7 linked regions of the Sus scrofa genome follow. The protein of the gene in region 6 binds, or shares a complex with, the protein of the main gene of each other region. Links are inferred from orthologs where the notes say so. Each region holds a gene or a part of one and is shown on either strand. Other genes may lie near its edges.

Region 1 (4,014 bases), on a different chromosome or scaffold from region 6:
TGACCCTGCCAGAGCCAGGTGGGGGCAGGGTGGCTGCCGGAGCAAGCCGGGAGGCTGATGGAGAGGCTATGCCACCACCTCTGAGACCCTCCCCAGGGAGCTGTAGCAGCGGCAGCCTCAAGACTAGTGCTAATCCGGAGTTCTGTTGTGGCTTAGCAATAAAGAACCTGACTAGCATCCATGAGGACGCAGGTTCGATCCCTGGCCCTGCTCAGTGGGTTAAGGGTCTGGCATTGCTATGAGCTGTGGTGTGGGTTGCAGACGCAGCTTGGATCCTGCTGGCATACACCAGCAGCTACAGCGCTGATTCGACCTCTAGCCTGGGAACTTCCATATGCCGCAGGTACAGCCATAAAAAGAAAAAAGAAATTAGTGCTTACCCAGTTCCTATTTTGTTCCAGGCCCTAGGCCTAGCGTTTATGCTCTGCACCCTCACAGCAGTTCTACAGGGTAGCCACTATCATTATTCCCATTTTGCAGAGAAGGAAACAGGCCCAGCCTACAGTCACACAGCCTGTAAGTGATGGAGCTGGGTGTGAGCCAGGCACCCTTGCTCCAGCATCCTCTCGAATTACTCCCTAGTACCACCCCAGAGTGCCACACACGGGGCAGCTACTCATCGGCCCCTGCCCAATGCCCCCACCAGGCTGGGCAGCCTAGGGGTCTCACACAGGCCACACGCTGCCCACAAGCCCCCAACTCTGCATCCCTGGCCTCCACTCACACCTTTCCTCCTGCCTGGCCAACGCTTTCCCATCCCCCTACTCGTCCTTCAGAGCTTGCCCAGGGACAGAGTTCTTGGCCCCGGTTGGACATTCTCCGGGTCCCCGGAACATGTCCTCGCAGGTGGCATCACCACTGGTAGAGATGGAGCCATGTATCACAGGCTAGGGGTCTGGGTCCAGTCTGCTCCCACCGAGGGACACTGAGGGCCCTCAGGGGCCAGGGGCTCTGTGTATTTTGTCCACTGCTGCAGACTCAGCACACAGCACCCAGCCCCGTGCCCAACATTCAATCCCCACCGACCAGCATCCTCTGCAGACTCTGCAGACGAGGCAGTGCTTCAGGTGGAAACTCAGGGAAAGGACAACCTGGAGAAATTCCTGCCCTCGAGGGGCCCAGCATCGAGATAGAGAACAATAGCGAGATAAGGAGTGTCTGGGGGCAGGCTGGTCAGGCGCAGGTTCCAGATTAGAGGCAACTGGAAAGTCAAAGACCTGGAGGGAGGCATGAGCCCATGGAGCTGAAGAGCAAACAGGCCGGTGTGCTTGGACCTTGGGGAGGGATGGGGAGAGCAGTAGGAAGTGGGATGGGCGTGCCTGAAGACCATGATGAGAGCCTGGGGTTTTAAATACAGAGAACACCCGACTCTGTCCAGGGTACCGCCCCAGGACCCCCGCCAGAAGCCTGTCAGACTCCCTCGGACTCTGGGCCACCCACAAACACCCCATCCCACAGGCCCAGGGGAGCCTCTCCTCCCAGATCACACCCCTCCATGGAGGCCAAAGAGACAGCCCTGCCCAGCCCAGCCCCCTGCTTCCAGGAACAGACCTTCAGCAAGCTACGATGTGGTGACTAGGGCCAGGAGCTCTGGGGTCATTCAAGATTCAGCTTGGAATCTGCTTCTGTCACTCAGTAGAAACTCTTTGAGCCTCACTTTGTCTGTCTGTAAAGTGGGTCCATCTGGTACCCACTTCACAAGATTATGGTATAAGTCCGGGCACACAGGGCGCTGAGTACAATGTTAACTCTCATTAAGCATCAACCAACATCATGAGAATCTGAGAGCCTGCGGAGCCTACAACTCTGAACCCCGAGTTCAAATCTGAGCTGCACCACTTACTCATGAGAAGACCCTGGGCAAATCACTTAACCTCTTAATAATGGCACCAAGCCCATAAGGTTGTGTTCACGATCAAAGGTAATGTAAAGCATTTAGAACAGAGCCTGACACACAGTAAGTGCTCTAGGAGTGTTTGCTCTTATTTTCATCATCTGTGGGAGGAGGGCTTTCTCCTCTTCCCCTCCCCCGCCCCCCCCCGCCCCCGCAGGAAGCACCCTTGACCTTGTTCTTGAATGTCCTACCCCTCCTCTTCAGCAACACGTCCCACCTGGGTTTTAACTTCTGACCCCTGAGAACATCACCTGTCGGGCCACCAGGTTCTGATCTTTGCCCCCTTTGGTCAGGCCCCACTTTTGATCCCATACAGATGTCCCCCAACCTAAATCTCATTCATTTGCTCCACTAGCTGCTGCCCTAAACCTCCAACTCTCAGACCCTCGCAGGCACATCCTCCCTTCAAATTGACCCCCATTTTTTTAGACATTCGCCCCCCTGCCCCTCCAACACGCTCCTACTTCAAATTTCCAATTTTGCACCCCTTCGCCACGCCCCCTTTGCTACCACGACCTCTGACCTACTCTACACCTCCCCCCTGTTCAACGTAGACCCGCGACCCACCCACGACGCGACCCTTTCCTTCGCGAGTCAACTTTGACCCCAGCGGCCCCGCCCCCTATTCCCGTAAACGCTCTCCCACCGCCATCGCCGGACCCCCCCCACGTCGCCTGGCCAGATCGCTTATCCTACCGGCTCGGCACCGCAGTCGCTCGCGGCCTAGCTGCTCGGCCCGGAACTTGGCGCGCTCACGCCGCCCTCAGCTCTCTTGCGCCGCCGCCACCACGGCCACTGCTGCCGCCATGTTGAATCCCCAACGAACATCCGGGGCTTTCCCCCCTCGCCGCCCACCAGTCCCCATAGCAACGGGGCTGACCGGCCCGGGGCAGGGCCGGCTCAGGGGCGGAGCTGGGTGCCCGGCAGGGTCCGCTCCAGCCTCTGATTGGTGAAGATCGTCCAATCGGAAACCTTAGGGAGGAAAATGCCAAGCCGGGATTGGAAAATTTGGAAAGGGTGCGGGGAGGCTGGCTCCAGCCGGCTGAGATTCTTAAAGGGGAAAATGGTTAGGCGCCTGCAACAGTCCTTCCCACCTTCTCTCAAAAGCAGTCATGGGGGGTAGAAGGCAGGCATGGGTGATTATGGCCAGAAACAGCTTTTGAACTTTTACTATGTGCCAGACACCCCGTCAAGTGCTTTACTTGCATTATCTTGCTGAATACTCGTCACAACCCTGTTATTAATATCCGTTTTACAGATTAAAAACTGAGGTTCAGCGGGGCGAACTAGCTCAGTTGGGATCATAGTCAATAAATAGTGAGTTTGGACGACCTTTGTCTGTCTGAGTCCGGGAACTTGACCTGGAACCAGGACACTGATTGATCTTAATCTTTTTAATAAGTTTTTTCAAAAGTATTTATTTGATTTGTTGGAGTTCCCGTCGTGGCTCAGTGGTTAACGAATCCGATTAGGAACCCTGAGGTTGCGGGTTCGATCTCTGGCCTTGCTCAGTGGGTTAAGTATCTGGCCTTGCTGTGAGCTGTGCTGTAGGTTACAGTTGCTGTTCGGATCCCACGTTGCTGTGACTCTAGTAGGGCGGCATCTACAGCTTCGATTCGACTCCTAGCCTGGGAACCTCCATATGCCGCGGAGGGGCCCTAGAAATGGCAAAAAGACGAAAAAAAAAAAAAAAAAAGAAGTAATTGATTTGTTTAAAAAAAAAAAAAAAAAAAAGGAGGGGGAGGAGGATGGGAAACCCCCGTAAACTAAACATTTTTTTCCTGGATTTCACTCACTGGTCTCCAGCCACTTTGCTAAAAAAAAATCAAGTACTCATCTACCTCAAGGTCATTGCATTGACTATTCCTTTTGTTGGGCATAGACTCTCCCCCCTGGTACCTTCATGGCTCCGTCCCTTCTCTTCTTCAGGGTTTTACTCAAATGTCACCTTATCAGTGGGACTGTTCCTGCCCACCCTGACTAAAGCAGCCAAAGTCCCTCTCACATGCTACTAAACCACTTACCTTCTCTGCTTTTTCTTATTTTTTGTTCCTCTTATCACGTTCTAACAGGCTAGATGATTAGCTAATCATAGTTATTGTTTTTCTCCTGCTGGAATG
Region 2 (3,500 bases), on a different chromosome or scaffold from region 6:
GGACATGGGATCTATCCACAACATGAATGGACTCTATAACCACTGGAAATCAGACCGAAGGAAAAGAAGAATTACTGAACTCATTGTGAATAAAATGCTAGGTAGTAAAGACAAGAGAGCTATACTTTAGAAATCACTCAAAGGGATAAAATTTCAAGACCCTACAATCCTAAGCCCCCTCAAAGATACTATCTGCCAACATTTCAGTTTTATTAATAAGTCACTATTTTTACATGCTTATGCTGATATACTGGGTTTATCTGGCTCTTCGCTTTATAGGGCAAAACAGACAAATATATAATAACGACCCCCCCCAAATATTAATGAAAATCATGAGCAAAAAAGTACAATTAAACGATTGGGAAGAATATTTTGGAAAAGAGTAAACAAAGGAGAGCTGAATATACAAAAGACATAGGAAATACTGTATCAGACTCTTTCTGTGATATCTGTAATCTTTTAGAGATGAGGAAGGCTATATTAAATGTCCTCAGGCAGGAGGGATTAAGAAGTAGATGCTTTTACAACCCTTTTGGCAAACTCACCCATCATAGGCTCCACTGACTATCCTCTTATTATCAAATCGAATACAGCGCACCAATTCCTCATGGCCTTCTAATACTCGTAAGCATGCACCACATTCTATGTCCCATAATCTTAAAGAGAAAATTGAATCAAGGAAATTTTCATGTATTCTTTCCTAAGTTTGGAATGTTATAATAACATACTTCATATATCTTTTTAAACAATCCACACTCATAATACACAAATTTATTGCTTTTAATGTAATTTATTTCCTTTCTGCCATATAACTTGGGCAGAAATATGTACAATTTAATTCAAATATGTAGTATACATTTTCAAAGCATCAAGCCTTATATAATTCTGTAATCAGGGTCATAAAGAAATATAGAGGATGATGCTGCGAGTGCGGCCCTAATATTTAATAAAATTTTAAAAAAGACAAAAAAATATATAGAGGATGAATTCAATGTATACAGTTGCCTATGAAGGAAACAGCTAAGCACAGAAAATAATGTTTCCTGAAATCAAAGTTAATAAGAATGAAACACCCGAAGCTCCTACTGCAGCTCAGAGGATTAAGAATCCGACATAGTGTCTAGTGTCTACGAGGATGTGTGTTGGATCCCTGTCCTACCTCAGCAGATTAAGGATCCGGCATTGTTGTGAGCTGTGGCATAGGTTGCAGATGTGGCCAGGATCCTGCATTGCTGGGGCTGTGGTGTAGACCAGCAGCTACAGCTCCGATTCAACCCTTAGCTTGGGAACTTCCATATGCTACAGATGCTCTGTAAACAGGAAAAAAAAAAAAAAAAAGAAGAAGAAGAAAAAAGAAACACAGTATCAGTGACATCCTTCTCTCACAACGTATGTCCACCTCTGTCACTGAGGACACTCTCTGCTTTTGTCCTCTATCTAGGACAGTTTTTCTCATCTAATGAAATTGCAAAGTTCTCAAAAAGTTTTATATGCTAATTTAAATTGTATGCTTTGTGACTAATTCCAATGATTTCTAGGAATGATAATTCCCTTAGATATAACAATAGCTCTGCTATTTTTTCAATGGTCTTTTCATTCCCTTAGTACTTCTTTGGAGGGGAGAGGGCTGATGAATCTTCCAAATTCTTATGTGTGTCATTCATCTTCCTGAAGGGAAAACACCAAAAGACACTTCAATTTGTGGATTCTTCATAATTTCAAAGACTGGTAACTCCTTGGTCAGTTAGGCAATGCTAAGCAAACAAAATGTGCCATTTCTAATAGGGAAACATCTTTTTACTTTTTTTAAGAACAGTGAAAAAGAGAAAAGGTCTTTAGCTATTTATTATTACTTTTCAACTGTAGACAGGAGAAATTTAAAGAGAAAGTCCTCCATTTTAATCTCTCTCGCCCACTTCTTCATTCAAACAGTACCTTTCATTTTTTATTTTTAGGTTTTTTTTGGCTGCGCCTATGGCATGTGGAAGTTCCCAGACCAGGAATTGAACCCACGCCATAGCAGCCACCCAAGTCACTGCAGTGAAAATGCCAGATCCTTAATCCAGTGTGCCACAAGAGAACTCCCAGCAGTACTTTTTAAATAGGTCTATCCGGTGATAAAACTATTATAGGGAGGAAACACATCAACAAAAGGCTTTGCTGTGCTTCCTCTCTGCTTGGGGCAAACTTTTGACCTGTACAAAGCTACAGAAAGGAAAAACATTTTATCATAAACATTACACAGTTGGAGATTTGTTTGATCTGTGTGCAAACAATGAATGGCAGGATAATACTGATCCCTTCTGGGCAAGGGCACTTGCTGCTCACCTGATAGTGTTGTCAGATGAGCCACTCACAACCAGCCTATCTCTGTACTGCAAACAGGCAATTCCACGTTTGTGTCCATTTAAGGTCCGTACAAATTCACAAGTACTTGTGTTCCATACCTAAAACAAAAATAGCACTTGGCAGTTGATTTGGTGCTTTTACTAGTAAAATCTATGGCAAAATGGAGCCTTAGGAAAGCAGAAAAATAGAACTGGACTAATAGGGGGAATTTAACTTCTCAAACCAATCCAAATCAAATCAAAAACTGACAGGTTTAATTAAAAGTAACAAAGGGCTAATTTGTAGCTGGCCGCTATTACATGAGAATTCCTCAAACTAACATACTCTGATGGGGTTAGTCTGGTCTTGCAGACTAATTCTTGAACCTAAATTTACCCTTGTCTTTTTCATACTCAGCATTATTTACAGGAATAAAATACCTAACCAAAATTGTCACACAACTTCTCTCTCATTACCTTTTACACATAAACTAGTATCTGATTTAAATATTAAGTATTCTACAGAGATGGTTAGACACTCTGCCCTTGATCAGATTTCCATATGAACTCCCCTATTTCAAGCTGGGGACTTATTAAAAAAGGCCTTATTACCTTTATAGTCCTGTCCCCAGATGCAGAAACGATGTACTTGTCATCAAAGTCCACAACATTGACTGCAGCTCGGTGTCCAACAAGTACCCTCCGGAGGGTGATGTCAGTTGGGGAGGCCATATCCCATACCGCAATGGAACGGTCTTTGGAGCAGGTCACCATCATGCCATTATTGAAACGCAAGTGCAGAACAGCTTCACAATGGTGAATCAATGTGTTTAGCATTTCACCTGTATTTACATCCCACACCCTGGAACAAACAGCATTAAGATCATCTGAGATTGCAGTGGTCCTCAAGCTACAATCCATTACACCCCTCCCATGCTAATCTCATAGTTAGGGTTGCACCCTACTCTCCTTTTGCAGCTTTGAGATTAAGCTGCGGTAAAGTGCACTGATGGAGCATGGGGAAGTGGTACACAGACGACTGGACTGTGAGAGTGGGAAGAGGAAGGGGATGGGATGCTGCCAGTGTGAAATCCTTAAGATACACAACTTGGAAATCTGTGCTAGTTGTTTGGGGGCAGGAATGAGCCTGCAGCCACAGTCACCAGCTAATTG
Region 3 (4,178 bases), on a different chromosome or scaffold from region 6:
AAAGGGTTGTTGTGGAAAATTAAGCAAATAGTTTATGCAAAATGCTTAGCACTCAGCAAAAAAACAAGCCGGGGGTTGGGGGAGGGAGGGCTGGCAGTAGGTAACAGGGGACTACCAGGTACCAAAATAGAAAGCAGTAAATTATACAAAGCTAATCATTTTGTTATTTCCATGCTTAATGTATTTGCACATCCATCCCATCTCTCATCCCTAGAGAGCAACTACCTTATAAACCTAACGCTGAATTGCGATTACTCGAAGCTTTTTTTTTTTTTAAAGGTTTCCAATTTTTATCCTAGCTGAAAGAATATGTTCTAACCCCCTGACTCTCCATAATTGGAACTCTAGGAAAGGCACTAGGACTCTAAGCATCCAAAAGAGACCCCCACCTGGAACACAGGCCATACCTTAGTCATGTAACAAAGAAACCAACAGTATATAGGAGTCACACAAGCAAAGAAAAATCTGTACAACTCATACTTACTCGTCATTTTTCACCCCCAAGTCAAAATGAGGAGCCAAACAAAAAATAACAGATTTACTTATTCACATCCCTTATTATATCTCCTAGAAGAACAGGTAGAGGTGAGGTAAAAGACAAGTCTTCTTCCATCTTATCATCCAAAAGGTTCCAGTAGTACACACCCAGTCAAAACAATGCCTCAGTTCGTGGAAATAGTCCTGGTCGCTAGTCAACTAGAATGCTCACTGCAGCTACACAAAGCCCAGTATTTAAAGCTGGACCCAAAGCACTACTACCATTCAGTCAGCCAGAACCTATTTTCAAACTGCCTTTGTACTCCTTCAAATTCCCTCATTCCTCCCCCTAAAGGTTGAGTGGGAAACCAACACTCTGGCAGCAACATGACCAATCCTCCAAAGATCCAAGAACCCCCCCACCCCCCTTAGGCTGGCGTCAAGGCAGAGAGAGCATTTGAAAGAAAATTTGGAAATGAAATAAGAACTACAGCCCAATGGACTGTACACATTGTCCTTTTTTTCTTTGTAACTGCGCTTGCTATAATTAGGAGATACTCCTAATTATACAGACATTAAAATCTTACTGTAGCTCTTGCATAAATTATATTAAACGGAGAAACAAAGTTCTGTTTCCCTTGAAGACACAACCTTGTAAGAATGAACTCATCTTTCAAGAAACACTTTTGTTCTGGAAAAGAAATCCAAGGAAGTATTCTAGTCTAAAAAGAATTGAGGGGTGAGGGGCACAAAATCAGAGGATTATTATACATACATACCAGTTTAAAGCTAATGAGCAGCTAACACAGGCCCATCTTTTTACAATTAGGGCAGTATCTACTGCAGTTAGTTTTCAGACTGATTCTCATTTTCAAAGAAGATGGAAGAAAACATCCAGTTTTCAGTTACTGATGAGTTGGCTATACAATTATCTAGAATCAGTATTTTTGAAAGAATGTATTTGCAAAACAAAAACTAATCTTAAGATTAAATAGAAGATATGAAAGCACAGTCATGAGCCTTCAGCTCTTACAGATTTCTGATTTCATGGCTAATTAACCAAAGGAAAAACTCACCTCCAAAAAACAACTTTCAGTTTGGTTTAAAAGTAAGAATTCCCCTTTTGCTTTCTCAAATGCCTTCTAAACACTAAAGTTGGTATAGGTATTTTAGTCTTAGCCTATCATTATTTTAATCCAAGGCCCTTTCAGAGAGCACAAAGCTCAAAATATTTTCATGTGTATCGCCACTTTACTCAGGTGAACGCAAAAGCATGATTAGAATTTCCTTATCCCTTTAAGCACAGAAACCAAGGGTTATCGTACATGCCAACTCAACCTACACCTCCACAAACCTTTGCCATCAAGGTAGTTGTAGAAGGAAGGAGATGGCGATTCAGTTACCATGGATCCATTTGTTTTCTTTTATAAGGCAAAGCAGGGAGCTAAGTCTAGCCGGAGAATGAGGCTCCCACCCACCGCACCTGGAAAAGTAAAAGAAGGATCCACCCAGGAACAGCAGGGCTGAAACTGATCTGGGCTGTTCAAACTCCAGAGGAAAAAATACCACCATTTAAGCTGCAAAACTCCCTGCAACTTTCCACTTTCACAAATCCAATGATTAAAGGGAGGGAAAAAAAAGTTTTAAAACATGAATAACTAGCTTCCGACCCGGACAAATTCCTTTCCCAACCCACACGCAACATGCCAAAAAACCCAACTTTTGGTTTGGGCTCTGAAAACAGAAGTTTGTTAGCCTAACCTAGAAAAAAAATATGAAATAAAAGAACACACCAAAATGCAAATTTACAGAATTGCCCTCACCCCTCCGAATCTATTCATCTCCCTATATTAGAGAGACCCAGAAGTTTGTTCCTGGTTCTTGAATATTTTACTTTGTTTCAAATATAATACCAAAATTCCCCAAATGAGGAAAATTAATAACCGCTTAAAAGTTACCCATCAGCGTAACAGAATCTCTTGTTTCTAAATTCCCTCCGGTTACCTTAAGACAAAAATTCGACTTGGCTTATCCTCCTTCACCCATCTATACACATATTTTTAAAAAGGCACACACCTCAAATGTGGACTTCTAGAAACCAGTCCTCTAAGAAAGAAACCCAAGCCTTCGTCAACGTGCTGAGAAAGACAAATCCAGCAAGGGAGTTGATTTTTCGCCACCTCTTCCTCCTTTCAGGGTCTTTCCTGCTCTTCTTTCTCTCTCTCCCTCTTTTTTTTTCTCTCAGATCCAACACCTAAAATGGAAGTTGCACCCAGCCAAAGGCTAGGGAGCCTGGGTGGTGACAAACTGATCTGGCAGCCCTACCCCTCGCTTTCCTAAGTGATGTCAGCCCCTGGGAACTTCCAATCGGAGCCAGGCATAAATCAGGGAGCTGATTTTATCCAATAGGAAACTTTATTATAGGAATTAAAAAAAAAAAAAAGGAGAGAGAGGAGGGGAAAAAGAGACAGGGGGAAGTTTTATATATATTTATATTTAAAGTGGAGACTGTACGATCTCTGAGGAATTACTGCAGAGCTGGGGGGTTAGGGGAAGGGGGCTTAGGGAACAAGGGCTTTTTAAAACGACAGGGCCTAAGCGCGTCAGTTCTCTTTGATGCTGGGGTTCTTACTCCTTCCTTTTTGGGTGGGGAAGCAAATAAAAGCTGATTTTATTTGCCTACTGCTATTTAGTTTGTTGCTTTCTACCCTAAAGCATTTTCCCAAAGGAAGACAAGAAGGGAAGGAGAGAGAAATCCTAGAAACAGGACTACAATGTCTTGAATGGGATGGTAGGGGATATCTGAGGTAAACACTCAATTTCATTGTTTTGGTTTAAATGCATTTAGGCTGATTAGGAAAAAATAAATGCTTGGACTTGTTCATACTTTTTAGTGTGTATGCTTTCAATGAGAAGGAAACTGAATCCTCTAGGTTATTGAGGAAAATCAGTCTTCTCATTTATCCCCAAATCAAAATAATGTGGCATTGAGTGGGAGAATAAATGATATCCCATAAACAAGCAATATATTTAGAGTAGATAACAGCATGTGTAAGGAAAAGAAAGTCTCACGTCTAGAAAATTCAATTTATTTGTGAACTTGAAGCTTAAGACATCCATTCCCTTTTTACGCTTGACCTAAATAGAGGATAAAAACAAGTATTCTTTTTCTGAGTTAAGAGTTATATTATAGGAGTTCTCATCGTGGCGCAGTGGTTAACGAATCCGACTAGGAACCATGAGGTTGCGGGTTCGATCCCTGGCCTTGCTCAGTGGGTTAAGGGTCTGGCGTTGCCCTGAGCTGTGGTGTAGGTTGCAGACGCGGCTCAGATTCCGCATTGCTGTGGCTCTGGTGTAGGCCGGTGGCTATAGCTCCGATTCGACCCCTAGCCTGGGAATCTCCACATGCCGCGGGAGTGGCCCAAGAAATGGCAAAGACAAAAATAAATAAATAAATAAATAAAATAGGGGTTAAGAGCATAGATTCTGTAGTCTGACTGGCTTCAAATTTTCCTCCTCTGTGAGTACACTTACTCAAGTAAATGTACTATATCCTCTGTGACCTTGGAAAGGTTATATAACCTTTCTGTGACTCGGTTTCTTAACCATAAAATGGAGATAATAACTATCTCACAGGACTGTTGTAATTAAAATACACACAAAGTTCTTAAAACAATGTATGCCATATAGTATAAATTCAA
Region 4 (4,006 bases), on a different chromosome or scaffold from region 6:
AGGCCAACAGGCATATCAGTAATAAGATCAAGTGCCATGTACCTGGTGAGAAGAGGTTTGCTACCAGACAGAAAAGTGCTAAGGGGGACTTGAGATATGACTAAAAGCTCATGTAAGTGATGGAATCCAAACTGGGTGTGGGAGCAGAGGAGGAGCAGCAATGAGGAAACAACAAACCAACAGACCCGCCTAGGGCCTAGGCCGCTGCATCCAATCCTTCCCTAAGGCTTATCTCGTTTCTCCAAAGTACAGCTCCCTTTAGCCCCACCACCTCACTCCTACCATCCTCCTGGATCAACCTCCTACTTCTACTAGTGCACAAACACAAGCCTTGCAGGCACCAGCAGGAGTGATCTTCCTAAAAAGGAAATCAGATCTTGAAACTTCCTACAATGGCTTCTCACAGCTCTTAGAATAAAATCCAGGCACGTGACCTGGAGTTCCCTGGCAATCTCATGCCAGGGCTCCTTCCTACCCCCAAAGCATGCATCCAAGCTACACGAACCTTCTCTTAGGTCTCTAAACACAAGGAGTTTTTTGCTATCTCAGGACCTTTAAGATCAGAGGACTCTCCACCACCACCCCCAATATCCAGGTCTGCCTGTCCCGTCACTAACTATTGTTCCTTTTCAGAAATCCCTCAACTCTGCCAGTTACTGCCCATCTCCATATCTAGGTTAGGTCACTTATCTCATTTTGGTCCTGCAGAGTTTGCGAAGCCCCTGGACACTGAAGGAGATCTCTGATGCACAGCTGACCATGTGGGTGAGCTAAGACATCTGCACTCAAAATAGAAGCTTTAGCTTTAGCCCACAAAGTGTTGGACTTCAGCTTACATTTGATGACAGGGAGACTGTACAGAAGTGATCCTCAACCCGGGAGAGGGCACCCCGATCTCTAGGTCACCCCTGGAAAAAGATGTGACTGGTGGTGGGAGAATGATGCCACATCAGTGGTGTGAAGGGCTGAGATACGTTAGAATCTTGGATATAAGTGGTTTGAACAACAACAGAAAGATTAAGAAACAAGAGCCAAAAGTATAAGGAAAACCAGGAGAGATTTATAATCCAATTCCACAAACGCCTTTATGCCCTTTCATGCTTCTTCCCGACAAAACCCCACTGCTGCTCTAACCAGTTCAAATGCCCGTCCCCTCCTGGAAGCCCTCTGGTCTTATCCAAACAAAACTTACTAGATCCCCCTGCACAATTCCACGAGTTTCTCTTATCATTATTATTACGTAAGGTGTGACCCACGCACAAGTTTTTGGTCATTACTGTTGTGGTTCATATCGCCATCGGCCTTGCACTACACCCAAGCTGTGTGTCCCTTCCCTATTACACGGTGGGTTCTTGGGGCAGAGACTATTTCTTAATCAACTGTGGGCCCTTAAGAAAGTGGATAAAAATGATTTTTGTAATTTGATAAAAGTCAGAAAGAGTAAATCACTGGACAAAAGCTATGGATTAAAGTACCACATCCTCACTAAGGTGATTTACAAATCCACACTTTCCTAAAGTGACACACACCTATACAATCTTCAAAAATCACTGCTAAACATACGATCCTCCCATGGAAATGCCTATCCTGTTGCAACAATACAGTGATGTAATCACTTCCTTCAACACACATAAGAAACGCCTTAATAATCTAGAGAGTGAACATACCTTACTCTTTTCTAGATTATTGTAAATTCTGTACAAAGCAAACACCAAAAAATGTTGCAAAGACGCAGAGGGACATAATAGGGTTTCAGTCCTGGATTGGAGCCAACTGCCGCCTGCATTATTGGGAAGCCATTCCTGCCACACCAAGGTTAGTAGGCATTCAGACAACATTTTTTCCAACAAGTGTTTCTCCCTCTCTCTCTCTCCCTTTCTCTCTCTCTCTCCCTCTCCCACACAAACACACCCCTTTAGAAATCAACAAAAAAAAGATTCCAACGTCCCTCGTGCAAACCAGAACTAATTAGAGTTCAGGGCGTCCAATTACACAGCACAGAAGTCCGAGGAATTTCACAACAAAGGTTCACATGTACACGCCAAAAGTCCACACGGGTGTGGCGCCCCTTCCCAGCCAGACTGTGTCCGAGAAAGGGACACGCAAACTCGCACATGCGCTCGGGCCGGGAACGCGAGGGTGCGGGCCCAGCAGCCGCCCCGTCCACCTGACCGGCAAGTTTCGGTGGCGGGGGGAGGGGTGCGATGCCAGAAACCACAGACCTCACTCGCTTCCCCGGAAAACGCAACGCCGCCGCCCGCCCGCCCGCGGAACCACGCACGGACTCTTGCCCTCGAGGAAGGCGGCCGAGCGGGCTCAGCGCGGGCCTGGCGCGCGCACCGAGGCTACTCGAACAAAGTTTCCAAGCCCGGAGAAACTTTCCCGAGAGCAGGCGCCGCGGCGGCGCGGGGCCTGCCGCTCGCGCTGCTCCGGCCGCCGCGGGCCCTCAACTTCCCGAGCGCCAGTAAGCGCCGGCCCCGCCCGCTCCACCAGGGCCCAGGCCCGGGGCCCCGCGGCGAGAGCGGGCCGGAGGCCGCAGCGGCGCCCACCCGGAGCCCGAGGCCAGGCGGGGTCGCAAAGGGGACCGCCCGGGCCGCCCGCCCGAGGAGCCCCCTGCCCAGCGAGGGGCGCCCACACCCGCGCGAAGGCAATTACCTGCGGCGAGCGAGGCGAGGCAGGAAGATTCCCGAGGCCCGAAGCCAACGGCCGCCGCTTTGTCTGCCCCTGTCCGGCTCCAGGGAGGAAATGGGCCGCCCGGCGCCCCCGCCCCGCGTCCCGGGCCCCGCCCGCCCTTCCCGGCACCTCCCTCCGGCGCGCTCTTCCCGGCGCCTCCCGCTGCCACCCCGCTGGCCAGGGTGGCCCCTGACCCGGAGCGCCTGGTCCGCCAGGCCCGGACCCCCCAGAGGCCCTCTTGCTCTCTGCCCCTGACCCTCGAGGTTCTTCTTGCCAAGCCCCTAGTGGGCACTCTGGCCGGGAGAGACCCCCACCCCCGAGCGGAGGGAGGAGCGCGGGTGCCTGGAACAGCCCGCCAGCTGGGGAGGGCAGGTGAGTCAGCGCGCGGCGCACAGGTGAGTCTCCGGGCACCGCCCGCTCTGGCCCCACCTCCCGCTGATGCCCCTGGGACCCGGCGGCCCGGCGGCGCAGACTTCCGAGTGCCACAGGTGTTCCCGGGGCACAGGCTTCCAGAAAAGAGCTCCAGGCCCATTCCCTGGCTTTACGGAAGGAAAAACTGAAGCCTCACACCTTGAGGCAGAGTGCAACTCGAATCCAATTCCAGGGACCTCATAATGTGCGATGGGAAAGCCTCCTAGCAATCACCCAACTCAGCCGGTCGCTTGACAGATGGGTAAACCCAACAGCCTTCCTGATGGAGAACAAGAGGCTTGTGACAGGAGCATCACCTCCTGAGATTGTCCCCCTCCCCACACACGCACATTTGAAGGACCTGGCTTCTATCCCTATCCCTCTGGCCATTTAGGGAATTTCATTCCCACTCTTCCTTCCTTATCTTTCTACTGAACGCTCCCCCCAAAAACCACAAAACAAAACCAAAAATACTACACTCTCAGTCTGGTATGACTTCCTTCTCCATCATGGGATGACGAACGAGTTGATTTCTGCACTGGTCTATTAAGTCCAAAATTATGCATGACAGCAGTATCCACTGTTCGTTTTGGGCTGAGCTCTGAACAGGGTGCTAGGGAGACCTGCCCTCAGCATGTTTACCTTTTTCTACTCAAATCTCCCTTTCCCAGGAAATGCAAACTCCTGGAGGGCAGCAGCTGTATCTCCTACAGCACCCAGCACAAGGCTCATCCCCTAGGCGGGGCCCAGTTACTCTCTGTAGGTGCAAGTGCCCACTGTAACCTTAATGAGGCCATTCTTGTCCAGCCACAGTCCATGCTGTTTCCATCTTCAGAGCTTTTGCTCCTGTGGTCTCCCCTACATGGAGTGGCTGTGGCTTCCTCCAGCTACACTTAGCTACCTTAGAACATAGTATTCAATC
Region 5 (3,500 bases), on a different chromosome or scaffold from region 6:
CCTACAAATAGGAAAGCCTGCTTTCACATTTTAAGGTGCATTAATACTCTGTAGGAAAAAGCTCCCAATCCTATGAATGTCAAATGTTCTCTGATTTTGATTGAACAAAACTAAGGGACCCATGCATTTCGCAGAAGGCGTGAGTCACAGAAAGCTTCCAATGACAGGCCCAGGGAGGTCGAGCGGTAGCGGCCAACGGCCACAGGGAAGCACTTCCCATCTCAAGAGATCACATACCACCAGTGTGCGCAGACACAACGTGCTTGCTGGGGCTCGGGGGTCGAGAGCCGCTTGCAAGTCCCAAACTTTGATTTTCCTGGAAAGGAAAACGAGAGCAGGGGGAAGGTTAACATGTGACGTGTTGTGAAGCCTTCCTTGAGAGAAAGGAGTGCATCCGAACTGCCTACTCTTAAGAGCTAAATGGGGAACCTGCTGATGTTTTGACAAGGTATTTTAAGCCAACTGTATTTGATTTTGGAAAAAAATAAGAACCTACACACTCTCAGAATTGCTGGAATTGTGAAGAAATATTATTTTAAGGGAGATAAGAAAACAACTTCATGTTATCTGAACTCAATTCCTGACCTGATAATCTATGTCACCAAATTCATTCATCAGGGGGCTCTCTAGGGCTGACTAGGTGCTGCTGACAGCTAGGGCTCTTTGTGAAATTCCAAGGATACCTTTCTTCAAACTAAGCAAATGCTGAAAGTTAATAATAGGAGTATGAACAGGCCAACGAACCCGTTTGTGAAGTATATATAAGGTCATTGCGAAAGGTTTACAGTTGCCATTTGCTCATTTTAAAAATCACGAGGCTTTTTAAAGAGGATGTGTTCAATTCACCAAAAGGGGAAAAGAAGTTTATCACTGAACTCAAAAAAAAAAAAAAACAAAAAACCAGTCTGGTTTAATTTAGGGCTGGGACAAAGACTAAATTCTTACAGAGCCTAAAAGGCTACTCCCTGCATTTACAATAATGGTAAAAAGTCTAAGCTCAGTTCATCCTTCTGGGCCTGGGCCTGAGTGTCCTCACTTGACCAAATGCTATAATAACACCTGCCACCCCCATTACACAGAAAATACTAGCACAGGACCCGGCACATACAGAGCTGCTTAATATTTTCCCCCTGGATATGGCTGCAGCCGTGCGTTTGAAAATCTCAAACACATACCCATCATACGCTCCACTGACAATCCTCTTGTTATCAAATCGGATGCATCGGACCAATTCTTCATGTCCCTCTAGGACTCTCAAACAGGCACCACATTCAATATCCCATAGCCTTGAATGAAGAACAGATTTCTGTGAATCAACTTCCTATGTGTGATTCACACTATCCATATGTGATTTTTCACTTTCCTGAGTCTTTATTTCTATCTCACTCCCAGTCCACATTATACACATACAAATACAGAGATATATACATATATACACACTCACACACACATTTCTATGTACATTTATATAATTTGTGTGTTTTTTAAGAGCTAACTTGGAAGGAAGGCTTACTTTTCATTATATTTCCTTTTATATAGTTTGAAACTTAAAAAAAAAAATCACATGCATGTCATTATTTAAATAAGACCAACAAACAAGAAATGTCCATTATATTTAGTTCCTAGGCATTCTTGTCATGTCTGAGTTGATGAACCCAAGTAGCCAAATGGTCTAGGAAGGATTTTTCTGGGGGAGATAGGATTGCAGGCTGGAAAGAAGAAAAAGCATGTGGGTGTGTGGGCGGCTAACAGATGCAGCCCAGGGCACGGGGCTTCCACCCCAGGCACTTCTAGCCTGGAGACCAAGAGGCCCACTGAGGTGAGAACGGGTGGATCGGCACGGTGGCCTCCCTCTCCTGATGAGGCTTAGGGACACGCCTTCCTAGATGCAGACTGCACACGAGGGTTGCCTAGGTTACCAGGTTAGAATGGGAGCCTCTCATTAGGTACATGCAGTGTCTGAGAAGTAGAAGCCCATTGACTACATCCGGCTCTTTTAAATTCTAGAATATATTTTTTCTATTATCATCATGCAGAAAGAAATCACAGCAAACTGAGATGCCAAACCACAGTTAGCAAACTAACTCTATAACGACGTTTTCTTGGCCTCTTCCCCCAGCAGTTCCTACCATACATCCAACGAGTATCTGACCACAGCCACCCCCACAAATCTTCTCGGTGTTGGTGACGGTGGGTGGCTTCTCTCACCTACTGTGAACAGAACCACTCAGCACTGACTCCAAAGTGGTTCCCTTCTATAAACTCTATGGCAATACACATTATTATTTTGTAAAATCTCAGAGATTTCAATCAGGAGGTTAAACTGTTTACTGCTGAAATATAAAGTAATACGAAGCATAAAGAAAAGCAACAGAACCAAGATTCAAGTCCTTGGTTGACTTTTATGATAGCCTAAAACTTAAAATGATCAAGAAGATGTTTGGCAGTTATAGCTATATTGTGGTTTGCTTGCTTGCTTTCTCTTTTAAAAAATAATCGTGAACCCAATCCTCATTTTGCTCAAACAGGCAATTTGTTTATAGCAAAGCTACTAGCATATGTTGGGACAGTGGCAAAATTATTTGGAATAATTAAATAAATATTTAAGGAAAGTTCTTAAGACAAAACATGTTTAAGGATAGTTATTTTTATTAGAAAGCAAGGACAGTGAATGTTGGGGAGAAAAAAGGGAGATAAAAATAAATGACCAAACAGGAACTGATGACAGTGCAGGGAGAGATGGAGAAAGCACACTCTCATCTGTTAGGGAGAGTGGCAGGAGCTTATGGGTGAGGCAAAGTAGAGTCAGACTGGAGCATCGTCTGTTGTGAGGCGTTAGAGTATTAAGTGGTCTTGGGTGGGGCTGGGGTTGTAAAACCTTGTGCACTGGAGGAATCTTGAGAGAACACTCAGGGCGTACCCAATTTACCCACTTTAGTATGCAGAGCCAGACGAATTAAGAAGTGACGTGAGGTTTTCTTATCCCAAGTAGCCCCCAAAACTGAGTCTTTTGAACATTAGGCCTGGGAGATGAGCCAATACCATGGCAAAAAGCAGCCCACTCTGTCAGCACACCAGCTTCTACCCACCTTATGGTATTATCTGATGATCCACTAACAACCAGCCGATCCCTGTACTGAAGACAGGCAATGCCTCGCTTGTGCCCATTCAGAGTACGAACAAATTCACAGGTGCTTGTGCTCCAGACCTGTCCAACAAACCAACAATATTTTTAATAGTGAATCCAGAAGAGTCTTCTCACAATACACCTTAAAGAGAAAGAACTAAGAATGACCGAAATACTTTTTTATGAAAAATTACTCTTGTTGGGGAATGGACTGGACAGAATAAAATTTTCTTAGCTGCTGAGTGATAAAACTGGACTGAAATACAGAGGAAAGTTGTGAAGCCTCCAAACCTTGAGAACTTCACAAAGAGAACATCTCCTGGATGGTTCAGACATTCATTTGCCTGGAGGGAAGACTCTGGGCCAGATTTTA
Region 6 (4,125 bases):
GTACCTATGCATAAAGACCTATTGTTTGCATGCATTAATTACAGGGATAAAAGCCTGAAGATAACTTTCACTGTTGCTTTTTGTATGCTCTTCATTGTTTTGAAGGAAAAATAAGCATACAATAGACTAGACAAAGTGAATGGATCATAATTTTTTCATCTTTGACAAATGCCAATCTTGCTGGATTACAATGGAGACATTTCGAAGGGAAACGAAGACCCAGCTTCAGCCTATTAGGACGAATTAGAAAATGTTTTTAAGAATAGAAAATTCGTTTTTAAAAATTAGAAGCTGCCTGATAGCTCCTTCCATAAACAACAACTTGGATTTCTCAACTAAGTAATATCTATACATGAACTTCCTCCGAGGAAAAATCCTCCCCCAACAAATTTATTGATACTTAGTAAAGTGGAACCAGATAAAATTGAAATCTGTAAGAATTAACCTAGTTGACAGGGCTCTAGAGCTAGTCCATTTCTATCAGTCATTTGTTCACAGTAGGGACTAAGGACTTGTTGAATTGCGGGCTAGGCGCCCGTTCTAACACGAGTTCAGTCTTTGGGATTGGGTTAACAGGAGGCTCGGCCCGGTACTTCACTTCCAGATTCAAGCCGGTAGGGATGCGGAATCTACGATTCAGACCGTGGAGGTAATGTGCGGCTCGGCTAGGAGCCAAGTCCTGCAGAGAGCTTGGGGCCCAGACCGCAAAGACGGCGAAAGCACGATCGCGCCGGGGTCCCTCGACTTGCATAGGGGCAGCAGCAGCGCCCGGCAGCGCCGGGAGCGGGCGGGCCCCGACCTCAGCACTGCGGTTGGCCCGGTCCCGAACTTCCGCCCTCCTGGGACCTGTGCCGCTCGGCCTCGTAGGGCCGGGGTCCGGGTGCCGCCTCCCACGGGCAGCAAGCGGCCAGTCCAGCGTCCGCTCTCTTGGCACTGGACGAGTGAGAGCCGGGGGGCTTCGGGATCCCGATAGTGGAGAATTTCGGGGTCGCCCTCCCCCAGCCCATCCCGGCCCGCGGGTGCCCTGGCCGCCCCATCTCGGCCGACAGCGCCTTGGCGGATCTGTCCTGCGGTCCCGCGCGGCCCGGCAGCCGCCGGCCTCTAACCCCCGGGAGCGCCCGAAGAGCTCGCAAGCGCCCCGCCCCAGCCCGAGGCGGGCGGCTCGGCGGAGCGGGGACTACTTTCCGCCGCCCGCCCGCGCCCCGCCCCTTGTCCTCGCGCGGCGGAACGCTCCGCGCTGCGCCGCTGGCGGCAGGATACAGCGGATTCTGCGCGACTTATAAGAGCTCCTTGTGCGGCGCCATTTTAAGCCTCTCGGTCTGTGGCAGCCGCGTTAACCCGGCTCCGGGAGCTGAGAGCGAGGGGAGGCGGAGACGGAGGAAGGTCCGAGGAGCAGCTCCGGTCTCCGCCGAGCCGCCACCGCAGGCCGAGGACGGTCGGACTCCCGCGGCGGGAGGAGCCTGTTCCCCTGAGGTGCTTGGGTGCTCCTTTCCTTACCCTTCCGGGGCTGCTCCCGCTCCTCTTCGGAGCCAAACTTCGTCGCGGGCGCGCGGTCCCGGCGGCGGCTGGAAGCCGGGCCCGGTGCAGCCCGGAGGGCCGGGGTGGGGAGCTGGGGGCTGACTGGGGGCGCCGGGGAGGCGGCGGGGGCGGGCCCGGCCCGAGGGGCGGAGGGCGGCGGCCGGGCCCGGGTTCCGGTCGCGCGGCTCTTTGGGGGCCCCGGGTTTGCCGCTTGCGGGGAGGGGGCGCCGCGAGGGCGCGTTCGGGAGCTCCGTTGTCTGGCGGGGGATAGTAGGGGGGTCTGTGGTTTCCGTCCCGGGCTCCGGCCGCGGCCGAGTTTGGGGGAGGGACCCTGCGCCTCTGGATGCGCCGGGGCCGGGGTGGGGGGCGGGGTGGGGACGGGGGACTCCGCCTTCCGGGCCTTCAAGGGGAGTTGGGGTACAGGCGCTGGGCCTGGGACCCGAGGTCCCATCTGCCATGAGGAGAGGACCAGTAGACTTTCTCTTCAGAGTCCCTCTTTCGTGCTTAAGGACGAATTAAGAGAATCGTTAGTATTATTTTAATGCTCTGCTGGTGTGTTTGGTTTTGGCTCCTGTTTAAATCGGAGCAACTTTAAACCGTAGAGGATCCAAACTATTATTGCAGACGGAGCGATGCTCCAGGAGGAGTTGCACAAATAAAATCCATATCTAGCACCTTTATTTTCTTGTACGGTGCAGGTGAGTGAAAGCAGTGTGCAAGGAAGGTCCTGGGAAAAATAAGGGCGAGGGCGACTGGCTTACTGTCTCTTACCAAGTGACCCGCCGGACTCAGCCTCTGACTGCTTCGAGAATTTTGTTCGTGGAAATTCTTTATTTAGATAATTTCATGCCAGCTAAACTTGATTTTGAGAGCACTTTCCAGCGAGATGAATTTTTCCCTCGCTACGAAATTGCCCGAAGGAAATTCAAGCGTTGCAACTTCGTTCCGTGTTTTGTCTGGGGCGAGGACTTGGAATGCAGTTTCGAAGTTCAGTTCTCAAAGCCCGCTACTGGATCCGCTAAACTTGAAAGCTTTGGCAGTTGGGTGTAGTTGATTCCTTCGTTTTCAGTTCCCTGTTGGAGGGAGCATTGTCTCCTACTTTGTATCTTCCAGACATCTGTGGTCTCCCCTCCCCCCCGAGTTTGTGAGTGGTGAATGAGGAGACTGGCCTGCTGGTATGCAGAGGTCCGCAAAAGGAAATCGAGGAGTGGTTTTAGTGAAACGAGAGCTTTGTGTCGTGAATAGTGGTGGCTTAGACTAGACAGCAACTTGAAGCGACGGCTAGCCTTTGATAAAGTCTGGACTGATGTTTTTCAGATCGCTGAGTTATAAAGTATTTTGTCTGGAACTTAGGAAGCCATTTCGTTATTGTCCCTTGGTGTGCATTCAGTACCTTCAGCTATCTTCACCTTAACTTGTCTTCAGAAATGTTGGACATAGCTTGAAATATTATTTACCATAATGCTACTGTTTAGTATCTGCTTAAATCAGTGACAAAAACATACTTTGGAGGGTTTTTTGTGGGTTTTTTTTTTTTTTTTTTTTTTTTTGTCTGAACTAAGGCGATGGCTGCATTTATTTTACTTTTACATTTAAACCCACAAAATCTCTGGGTTAAAAAAAAAAGTGCCATTAACGTTTGAGAATATCCTTGCACAAAATTTGATTAATTTGCACCCAATATTCATTACTTTGACCTAGTCTTTGTTCTAAAGGCCATGTACAAGGCCCTAAAGTGATTGCAACAGTAACTCGAAAAACTTGCAGAAGACTCTTCTATAGGATTAAAGGAATGCTGAGACTATTCAAGTCTAAGGTCCTTGAGGGGGAAATAAAAAAACTAAACTAGAAAGTTTAGTATAGCATGTAGCTTAGAGCCCTTGTGGAGTTCTAGGCTTAGATTTTTCCATAGGCTAGAATAATCATTTAAGATAGCTTTCAGGAAAAACCAATTTTTAAAAATAAAGTGGCAAAAAAAAGGACAAAAAAGAAACATTTAGCAGTGTTCAAGTGTCAATAGGTATTCAAGAGTTTTCTTTTGAAACGTTATCCGACTACTTCCTCTACCAAGATAATTATGTAGAAAAGTATGGATCCCAGTATTAAAACATAAGCTGAATTGAACTTCCTACTGTTGCCAGTGATGACTGGAATAAAAATTATCCATGTAAGTGAAGTAGTGTATTTTTGTTTTCATAGATACTTCCCTCCTCCACCCCCCCCCATAGGAAGGAAAACATGAATTAGGCATATTTCTCTAAGGGTATTTTGAGATTTGGTCTTTCAGGAAAACTATCTGCAAATACTGTTTTTTTTTATTGGGAGGGGTGAAAAGAGGAGCAGAAGTATTATTAAAACTGGGGATGTGGAGAATTCAAAAGTTTGATTCTCTGTCATTAAAAGTAGCAGTGAGATTAAAACCCTAGATATGGACTATATAAGTATCTTCAGCCAGTGAAACTTGTGTTATTGAAATAATACATCTATCCAGTTACAATAGGATTTTGTTTCTCTCTTCATGATTTACTAGTTACTGATAATAATTGTAGAGGAGTAGGTGGTAAATTTTAAGTTTGTACTTTGAGCTAGGGTGGAAGCATGCTTGAT
Region 7 (4,270 bases), on a different chromosome or scaffold from region 6:
CCCGCAGTTTCTTGTCAGTTTCACGCGGGCAAAAACGTGCCTTCCTTGGGTCACAAGAAGCGCGGGATCCTTCCTTCGCCAAGTTGCCTGAATCTTCTTTCTAGGCGCTCTCCGCACGCGCGCGCGCGCTCCCTCTCTCTCTCTCTCTCTCTCTCTCTCTCTCGCGCACACACACACACACACACAGACATACACACCCCAAAACTAGGACTAGTCCTACAGGCTCTGGGAAAAGAAAAAAGTCCTCAATCACCAGCTCCTTCTCGCCGTCCCCCTCCTCCCTCCCAGCGGGCAGCCAAGGAAAGCTGGAGGCGGGGGAGGGGAAGGGGAGGAGAAGCGACGCAAGTGGGTAGCTTTTCAGCGCCGGCGAGGCGCGGGAGGAGGAGAAGCGGTGGGGAGGCGCAGCCGCTCACCTGCGGGGCCGGGCGCGGAGGAGGGATCAGGCTGCGCGCTCTCAGGCCGAAGAGCCAGGACGCGCCCGTAGCCCCGCAAGCCGCCAAGCTCTGGGCGTCCCCCTCCCCCGGGCCGGGCGAACCCGAGGGGTGCAGCTCTTTGCTTTGACAAGCGGCCGGGCGGAGGCGTGGAGAGCAGCGAGCCAGCGAGCGAGCCAGACTGAGAAACTCGAGCCGGGAACAAAGAGGGGTCGGGCTGTGTGTGTTTCGGCTCCAGCTCCGGGCAGAAGCTTTTGGGTCCGCGGTCCCTGCTGTGACTCCCCGAGACCCAGCCGTGCCCTCCACTGCCGACTCCCTGAGCTTGCACGCACAAACTTTATTCTTGGCAAACTTCTTTTCCTTTTCTTCCCCTCCTCCTCCGCCCCCACCTTCTCCTCCGGCAGATTAAATTCGCCTGGAGAAGGAAAACCGAAGCGAAAGGGAAGGAAACAAGAAGCTCTAAAACGGACATCTCCAACCCTGGTGGCTTTTTTTTTTTTTTTTTTTTTTTTTTGCTCTCCAGGAAGTGGACATTCATTATCTTCTGATTCTCCTTGCACCGTCTCTACTGGGGCAAACGGAGCCGTTTTGCCCGAGTCCCTTATTTTTCCGGGAAACAAACTCCCAGATCGGCCTCCGGGGGAGCTGAGGTGGAGAGATTTGCGTAGAGACGCGCCGGCGGACCCTCCTCTGCACTTCGGAGACTCGAACCTCCTACGACCCGGGAGACGCTGGGGGCGTCGGGTGGCCGCCCGGGCAGTCTAGCCTAGCGTGCGCCACGCTGCACGGCGCAGACGCCCCCAGAGGCGCCGGCAGCGGCGGCCCTCGCAGCCCTGTGTCCTTCGGCCTCGCGGACGGGTGCCGGCGTGGGTCTCGGCCGAGTGGGAAGACGCGGACGGCCGCCGGGACGCGGACGCCGCTGCAGTTGCTCAGGCTGCCGGCCGCCAGCCCTGCGCTCGCCAGCCCGGCTTCCGCCTGCTGTCGTCCCTCACACACCCTTCCAATTCTCCTTCTCCTCCCCCACCTTTCCTTTACCCTTTCTCTCTTCTGCTGTCGCCTGGGGTGCTCCCCCAGCGGAGCGGAGATTACAGAGTGGTCGGGATGCCCCAACTCTCCGGGGCAGGCGGCGGCGGGGGGGACCCGGAACTCTGCGCCACGGACGAGATGATCCCCTTCAAGGACGAGGGCGATCCCCAGAAAGAGAAGATTTTCGCTGAGATCAGTCACCCTGAAGAGGAAGGTGACTTAGCCGACATCAAGTCCTCCTTGGTTAACGAGTCCGAAATCATCCCGGCGAGCAACGGACACGAGGTGAGCGGGCCGCTGCCCAGAGCGGCGTGGCGGGTCCGGGGGAAGAGCAGGGAGGGAAGGCTCTGGACAGCCCCAGCTGATGGGTCCCCAGCAGGTCTCCTGGGGCCGAGGTGGGATGGGGTGAGGGGCTGGGCTACTTTGGTCAACGTTCTTCGTTTGTGCGTGTGTGAGGTGGAGGGGGATGCAGGAAAACATTCAAAATGGATCCGTTTTGGGGTTCTGTGACTAAACTGTTGGTTTGCGGCCCTTAACCCATAACGTTTCGCCTTCAGACGTTTTCGTGGGGTTGAGAATGTGCGATGCATTAAAGCGAGGATGTCTGAACAGCACTACTGAGAAGTTCTTCCGTAGGACGGAAAACAAAGTGCACCCGCTCTCTCGATAGATGTCTCTGCAAAAATGCGTTAAACCACCAAAAGCTTAGGTAGAAACGAGCAGAGCCACAGGCAGAAAGGAAGGGGAGGCGGGCGTGGGCCGAGGACAGGCGGGGCCATCCCAACCGCCGCGGAGCCAGGCTCGCGCCCAGCGGGGCGCGCGGCGGGGGCGGTGCGGGACCCGGTCCTTGCCGCCGCCCGAGTCCCAGTGCCGGGGCTGGCTGTGGGGAGCCGTGGGCGCGCCGAGCGGAACCACCCCAGGGCGGGGGCACTCGCAGTAAGGTCCGCAACGCTAGTTTTCTCCACCCACAGCCACTTAAAGAATTGAAAAAAAAAAAAAAAAAGTTTATATTGGGGGTTAGTTTGGGCCCGGATCAGGCCTTAAATCTATGCAAAAGAAAGGCGAGCCAGAGTCGAGATGCGGCGGAAGCCAGGGCACCCACTCAGGGGAGAGTGGAAAGCACGTTATCAGATCTCTGGCCCGCTGCGGGCGATAGCGTTGGTAACCCGAGTAGAGTAAATAGAGACACGTGGGTGCTGGCGAGAGAAAGCCGAGAGCTGGACCTCGCGGAAGGGCTATTTCAGGCCGAGCTGAGAGCTTTGGGGGTGGGGGAGCGGGAGAGCGGATGGACCCTGATACCCGACACTGCACTGGCCACCCTTGTTCAACAACTGGGAAACGCTTTGGAGGAAATCCGGTAGAAAAGTCCTGACATTCAGAAGATTTCACCAACGCTTTTTCCCTCCAAAGAAATTCGGAGGGTATATCCTTTTTCCTTAAATGGCATCCTTCTGCCCCCAAAAAGAAGGCGTGTGAGGTTTTGGGGGCGGGGACATTTTGGGTTTTAAACAGCAAGTTTAAGAACACCTCTGAGTTACCTTCTTTATCCCAATGGCAGGGGTGAGTACGCATTTTGGAAGTCGGGGGCCTGGGAGCCTGGGTTCTAAAGAGAATGTAGGGATGTTCTGTCCCCTAAATCTTTCATCCCAACGTGCCAATTGTGCGGGAGGGGGCGAGGGAGGCCGTGGCAGCGGAGAGGATGCCCCCAAATCTGCTTAAAAGATTTGTGATTGTGTGTTCATTGGGGGGAGGTTACCAGGAGGACACGTGTTAAAGAACCAAATAACATCCACAACACTCGAGGCCAAACTCATATTTGTAGAGTGGCCTTTTAAAATTTCTACTCATTTTGTTTGTACGTCCTTTTGCTATAAATAAATTCGCCACCCGCTTCACATCGTCTACCTGTGTCTGCATTGGGGAGAAGGGCACTGCATTTGAAGCCCAGAACCCCTAGGTACTAGGGCTCTGTTCATCTTTGCTGGTGGTGAGTGGGCATGGGGCAGACCCAAGAAAAATGGTGAAAGGGTAATACCACTGATTTGCACGTGGTTGAGGCTGGGTGGATGGTGGTTACAGAGCTGATATTAACTGGGCTGCCTTTTACGTGTCTGTAGCCTTACTCTCAAATTTTCCTCCCTTTAACCACAAAATAGTTCACTTTTCTCTTGTAAGCTTGCACTCAACCAGCCATGGTAGGTTATAAGGGGTGGAGCTCCTGCTGCAACCAGTTTGGGACAGTTGCCTAAAACCCCCTTTTGTGAGTGGTGGGCTTGTTTTTATTTAAAATGTCATTTTCAGTTGCAAAGTGATATTTCAGCCCTCCTTTAATCAGATCTGATTGAAGTAAACAGTGGTTGTGAAGAAGCTATCAAAACGACCAACCCCGTTAACTCAAATTCCTATCATATTTAGGCATCCAAGCAGCCTTGATGTGTTTTAGCAAATAGCAGTCAGAATAGTATATGAATTGTTCCCAAATTTGTTTTTGTTACTATTTTCTTTATGCTTTCCAGTCCTGGGCAGATAATTCTCAAAAATGTATGCTGAAAAAAAGATTTCTCAGTAGTCAGCCCTAGCCTATCCTCATAGATTAATAGAATAAGTAGATTGAGTTGCACCTAATCCTCCTCCTCCTCGAGTTACCAGTGGATACACATAGCACTTTTGTCACAAACTCTAAGGTGATTTTCTTTCTTTTGTGGGTGGGGATTCATGCTGTTAGGTGGCCAGACAAGCACAGAGCTCTCAGGAGTCCTACCATGACAAGGCCAGAGAACACCCTGATGACGGTAAGACAGTAATACCACTCC

What was found.
Region 1: the proteins of CTNNB1 (region 6) and PAK4 are in contact, whole or in part, in a crystal structure (PDB 6WLX), measured with the Homo sapiens proteins. The link is inferred for Sus scrofa from reciprocal best matches to the Homo sapiens genes CTNNB1 and PAK4. Residues at the interface, in NP_001091679.1 of Homo sapiens: Lys672, Arg673, Leu674, Ser675, Val676; in NP_001014831.1 of Homo sapiens: Ser331, Gln358, Thr404, Asp440, Lys442, Ser443, Asp444, Phe461, Leu475, Val476, Gly477, Thr478, Pro479, Tyr480, Trp481, Met482, Glu507, Phe516.
Region 2: the proteins of CTNNB1 (region 6) and BTRC are in contact, whole or in part, in a crystal structure (PDB 1P22), measured with the Homo sapiens proteins. The link is inferred for Sus scrofa from reciprocal best matches to the Homo sapiens genes CTNNB1 and BTRC. Residues at the interface, in NP_001091679.1 of Homo sapiens: Tyr30, Leu31, Asp32, Ser33, Gly34, Ile35, His36, Ser37, Gly38, Ala39, Thr40; in NP_378663.1 of Homo sapiens: Tyr307, Arg321, Ser345, Leu347, Ser361, Ala385, Leu387, Lys401, Arg403, Arg426, Ala427, Ala428, Asn430, Gly444, Arg467, Gly468, Ala470, Ser484, Leu508, Arg510, Tyr524, Arg557, Phe559.
Region 3: CTNNB1 (region 6) and CTNND1 share a complex: the UniProt entries of both Homo sapiens proteins name them as parts of the cadherin:catenin adhesion complex. The link is inferred for Sus scrofa from reciprocal best matches to the Homo sapiens genes CTNNB1 and CTNND1.
Region 4: the proteins of CTNNB1 (region 6) and CTNNA1 are in contact, whole or in part, in a crystal structure (PDB 1DOW), measured with the Mus musculus proteins. The link is inferred for Sus scrofa from reciprocal best matches to the Homo sapiens genes CTNNB1 and CTNNA1. Residues at the interface, in NP_001159374.1 of Mus musculus: His118, Thr120, Asn121, Val122, Gln123, Arg124, Leu125, Pro128, Ser129, Met131, Leu132, Lys133, Ala135, Val136, Asn138, Leu139, Ile140, Tyr142, Glu147, Leu148; in NP_033948.1 of Mus musculus: Ala58, Leu61, Ala62, Ser64, Val65, Gln67, Ala68, Thr69, Asn71, Phe72, Lys75, Gly76, Lys78, Ile79, Glu82, Met104, Ala108, Phe111, Pro115, Cys116, Arg121, Met124, Ala128, Leu131, Leu132, Val135, Leu138, Leu139, Ala142, Asp143.
Region 5: the proteins of CTNNB1 (region 6) and FBXW11 are in contact, whole or in part, in a crystal structure (PDB 6WNX), measured with the Homo sapiens proteins. The link is inferred for Sus scrofa from reciprocal best matches to the Homo sapiens genes CTNNB1 and FBXW11. Residues at the interface, in NP_001091679.1 of Homo sapiens: Leu31, Asp32, Ser33, Gly34, Ile35, His36, Ser37, Gly38, Ala39; in NP_036432.2 of Homo sapiens: Tyr244, Arg258, Ser282, Leu284, Ser298, Leu324, Lys338, Ala364, Ala365, Asn367, Gly381, Arg383, Arg404, Gly405, Ala407, Ser421, Leu445, Arg447, Tyr461, Arg494, Phe496.
Region 7: the proteins of CTNNB1 (region 6) and LEF1 are in contact, whole or in part, in a crystal structure (PDB 3OUX), measured with the Mus musculus proteins. The link is inferred for Sus scrofa from reciprocal best matches to the Homo sapiens genes CTNNB1 and LEF1. Residues at the interface, in NP_001159374.1 of Mus musculus: Lys180, His219, Ser250, Phe253, Tyr254, Thr257, His260, Asn261, Leu264, Asn290, Lys292, Phe293, Ala295, Ile296, Asp299, Lys335, Trp338, Thr339, Val349, Gln375, Arg376, Gln379, Trp383, Arg386, Asn387, Ser389, Asp390, Thr393, Asp413, Ile414; in NP_034833.2 of Mus musculus: Gly11, Asp12, Pro13, Glu14, Leu15, Cys16, Ala17, Thr18, Asp19, Glu20, Met21, Ile22, Pro23, Phe24, Lys25, Asp26, Gln31, Lys32, Glu33, Lys34, Ile35, Phe36, Ala37, Ile39, Glu45, Asp47, Leu48, Asp50, Ile51, Lys52.

What each region holds. Positions count from the first base shown.
Region 1 is NC_010448.4:47,868,390-47,872,403, reverse strand, and holds the start of PAK4 (serine/threonine-protein kinase PAK 4), read right to left. Parts: upstream 2,801-4,014; 5' UTR 2,591-2,800; intron 1-2,590. UniProt on the Homo sapiens protein: Serine/threonine-protein kinase that plays a role in a variety of different signaling pathways including cytoskeleton regulation, cell adhesion turnover, cell migration, growth, proliferation or cell survival.
Region 2 is NC_010456.5:112,566,264-112,569,763, reverse strand, and holds part of BTRC (F-box/WD repeat-containing protein 1A), read right to left. Parts: intron 3,190-3,500; coding exon 2,940-3,189; intron 2,448-2,939; coding exon 2,329-2,447; intron 657-2,328; coding exon 546-656; intron 1-545. UniProt on the Homo sapiens protein: Substrate recognition component of a SCF (SKP1-CUL1-F-box protein) E3 ubiquitin-protein ligase complex which mediates the ubiquitination and subsequent proteasomal degradation of target proteins. Recognizes and binds to phosphorylated target proteins.
Region 3 is NC_010444.4:13,206,432-13,210,609, forward strand, and holds the start of CTNND1 (catenin delta-1), read right to left. Parts: upstream 2,801-4,178; 5' UTR 2,554-2,800; intron 1-2,553. UniProt on the Homo sapiens protein: Key regulator of cell-cell adhesion that associates with and regulates the cell adhesion properties of both C-, E- and N-cadherins, being critical for their surface stability.
Region 4 is NC_010444.4:140,681,570-140,685,575, reverse strand, and holds the start of CTNNA1 (catenin alpha-1), read right to left. Parts: upstream 2,801-4,006; 5' UTR 2,656-2,800; intron 1-2,655. UniProt on the Homo sapiens protein: Associates with the cytoplasmic domain of a variety of cadherins. The association of catenins to cadherins produces a complex which is linked to the actin filament network, and which seems to be of primary importance for cadherins cell-adhesion properties.
Region 5 is NC_010458.4:52,323,901-52,327,400, reverse strand, and holds part of FBXW11 (F-box/WD repeat-containing protein 11), read right to left. Parts: intron 3,209-3,500; coding exon 3,090-3,208; intron 1,287-3,089; coding exon 1,176-1,286; intron 317-1,175; coding exon 238-316; intron 1-237.
Region 6 is NC_010455.5:25,162,970-25,167,094, forward strand, and holds the start of CTNNB1 (catenin beta-1), read left to right. Parts: upstream 1-1,325; 5' UTR 1,326-1,473; intron 1,474-1,497; coding exon of another isoform or gene 1,498-1,918; intron 1,919-4,125. Other genes in the region: basic proline-rich protein-like, read right to left, coding at 1,498-1,918. UniProt on the Homo sapiens protein: Key downstream component of the canonical Wnt signaling pathway.
Region 7 is NC_010450.4:113,824,984-113,829,253, forward strand, and holds the start of LEF1 (lymphoid enhancer-binding factor 1), read left to right. Parts: upstream 1-1,470; 5' UTR 1,471-1,532; coding exon 1,533-1,742; intron 1,743-2,447; exon of another isoform or gene 2,448-3,008; coding exon of another isoform or gene 3,009-3,017; intron 3,018-4,182; coding exon 4,183-4,249; intron 4,250-4,270. UniProt on the Homo sapiens protein: Transcription factor that binds DNA in a sequence-specific manner. Participates in the Wnt signaling pathway. Activates transcription of target genes in the presence of CTNNB1 and EP300.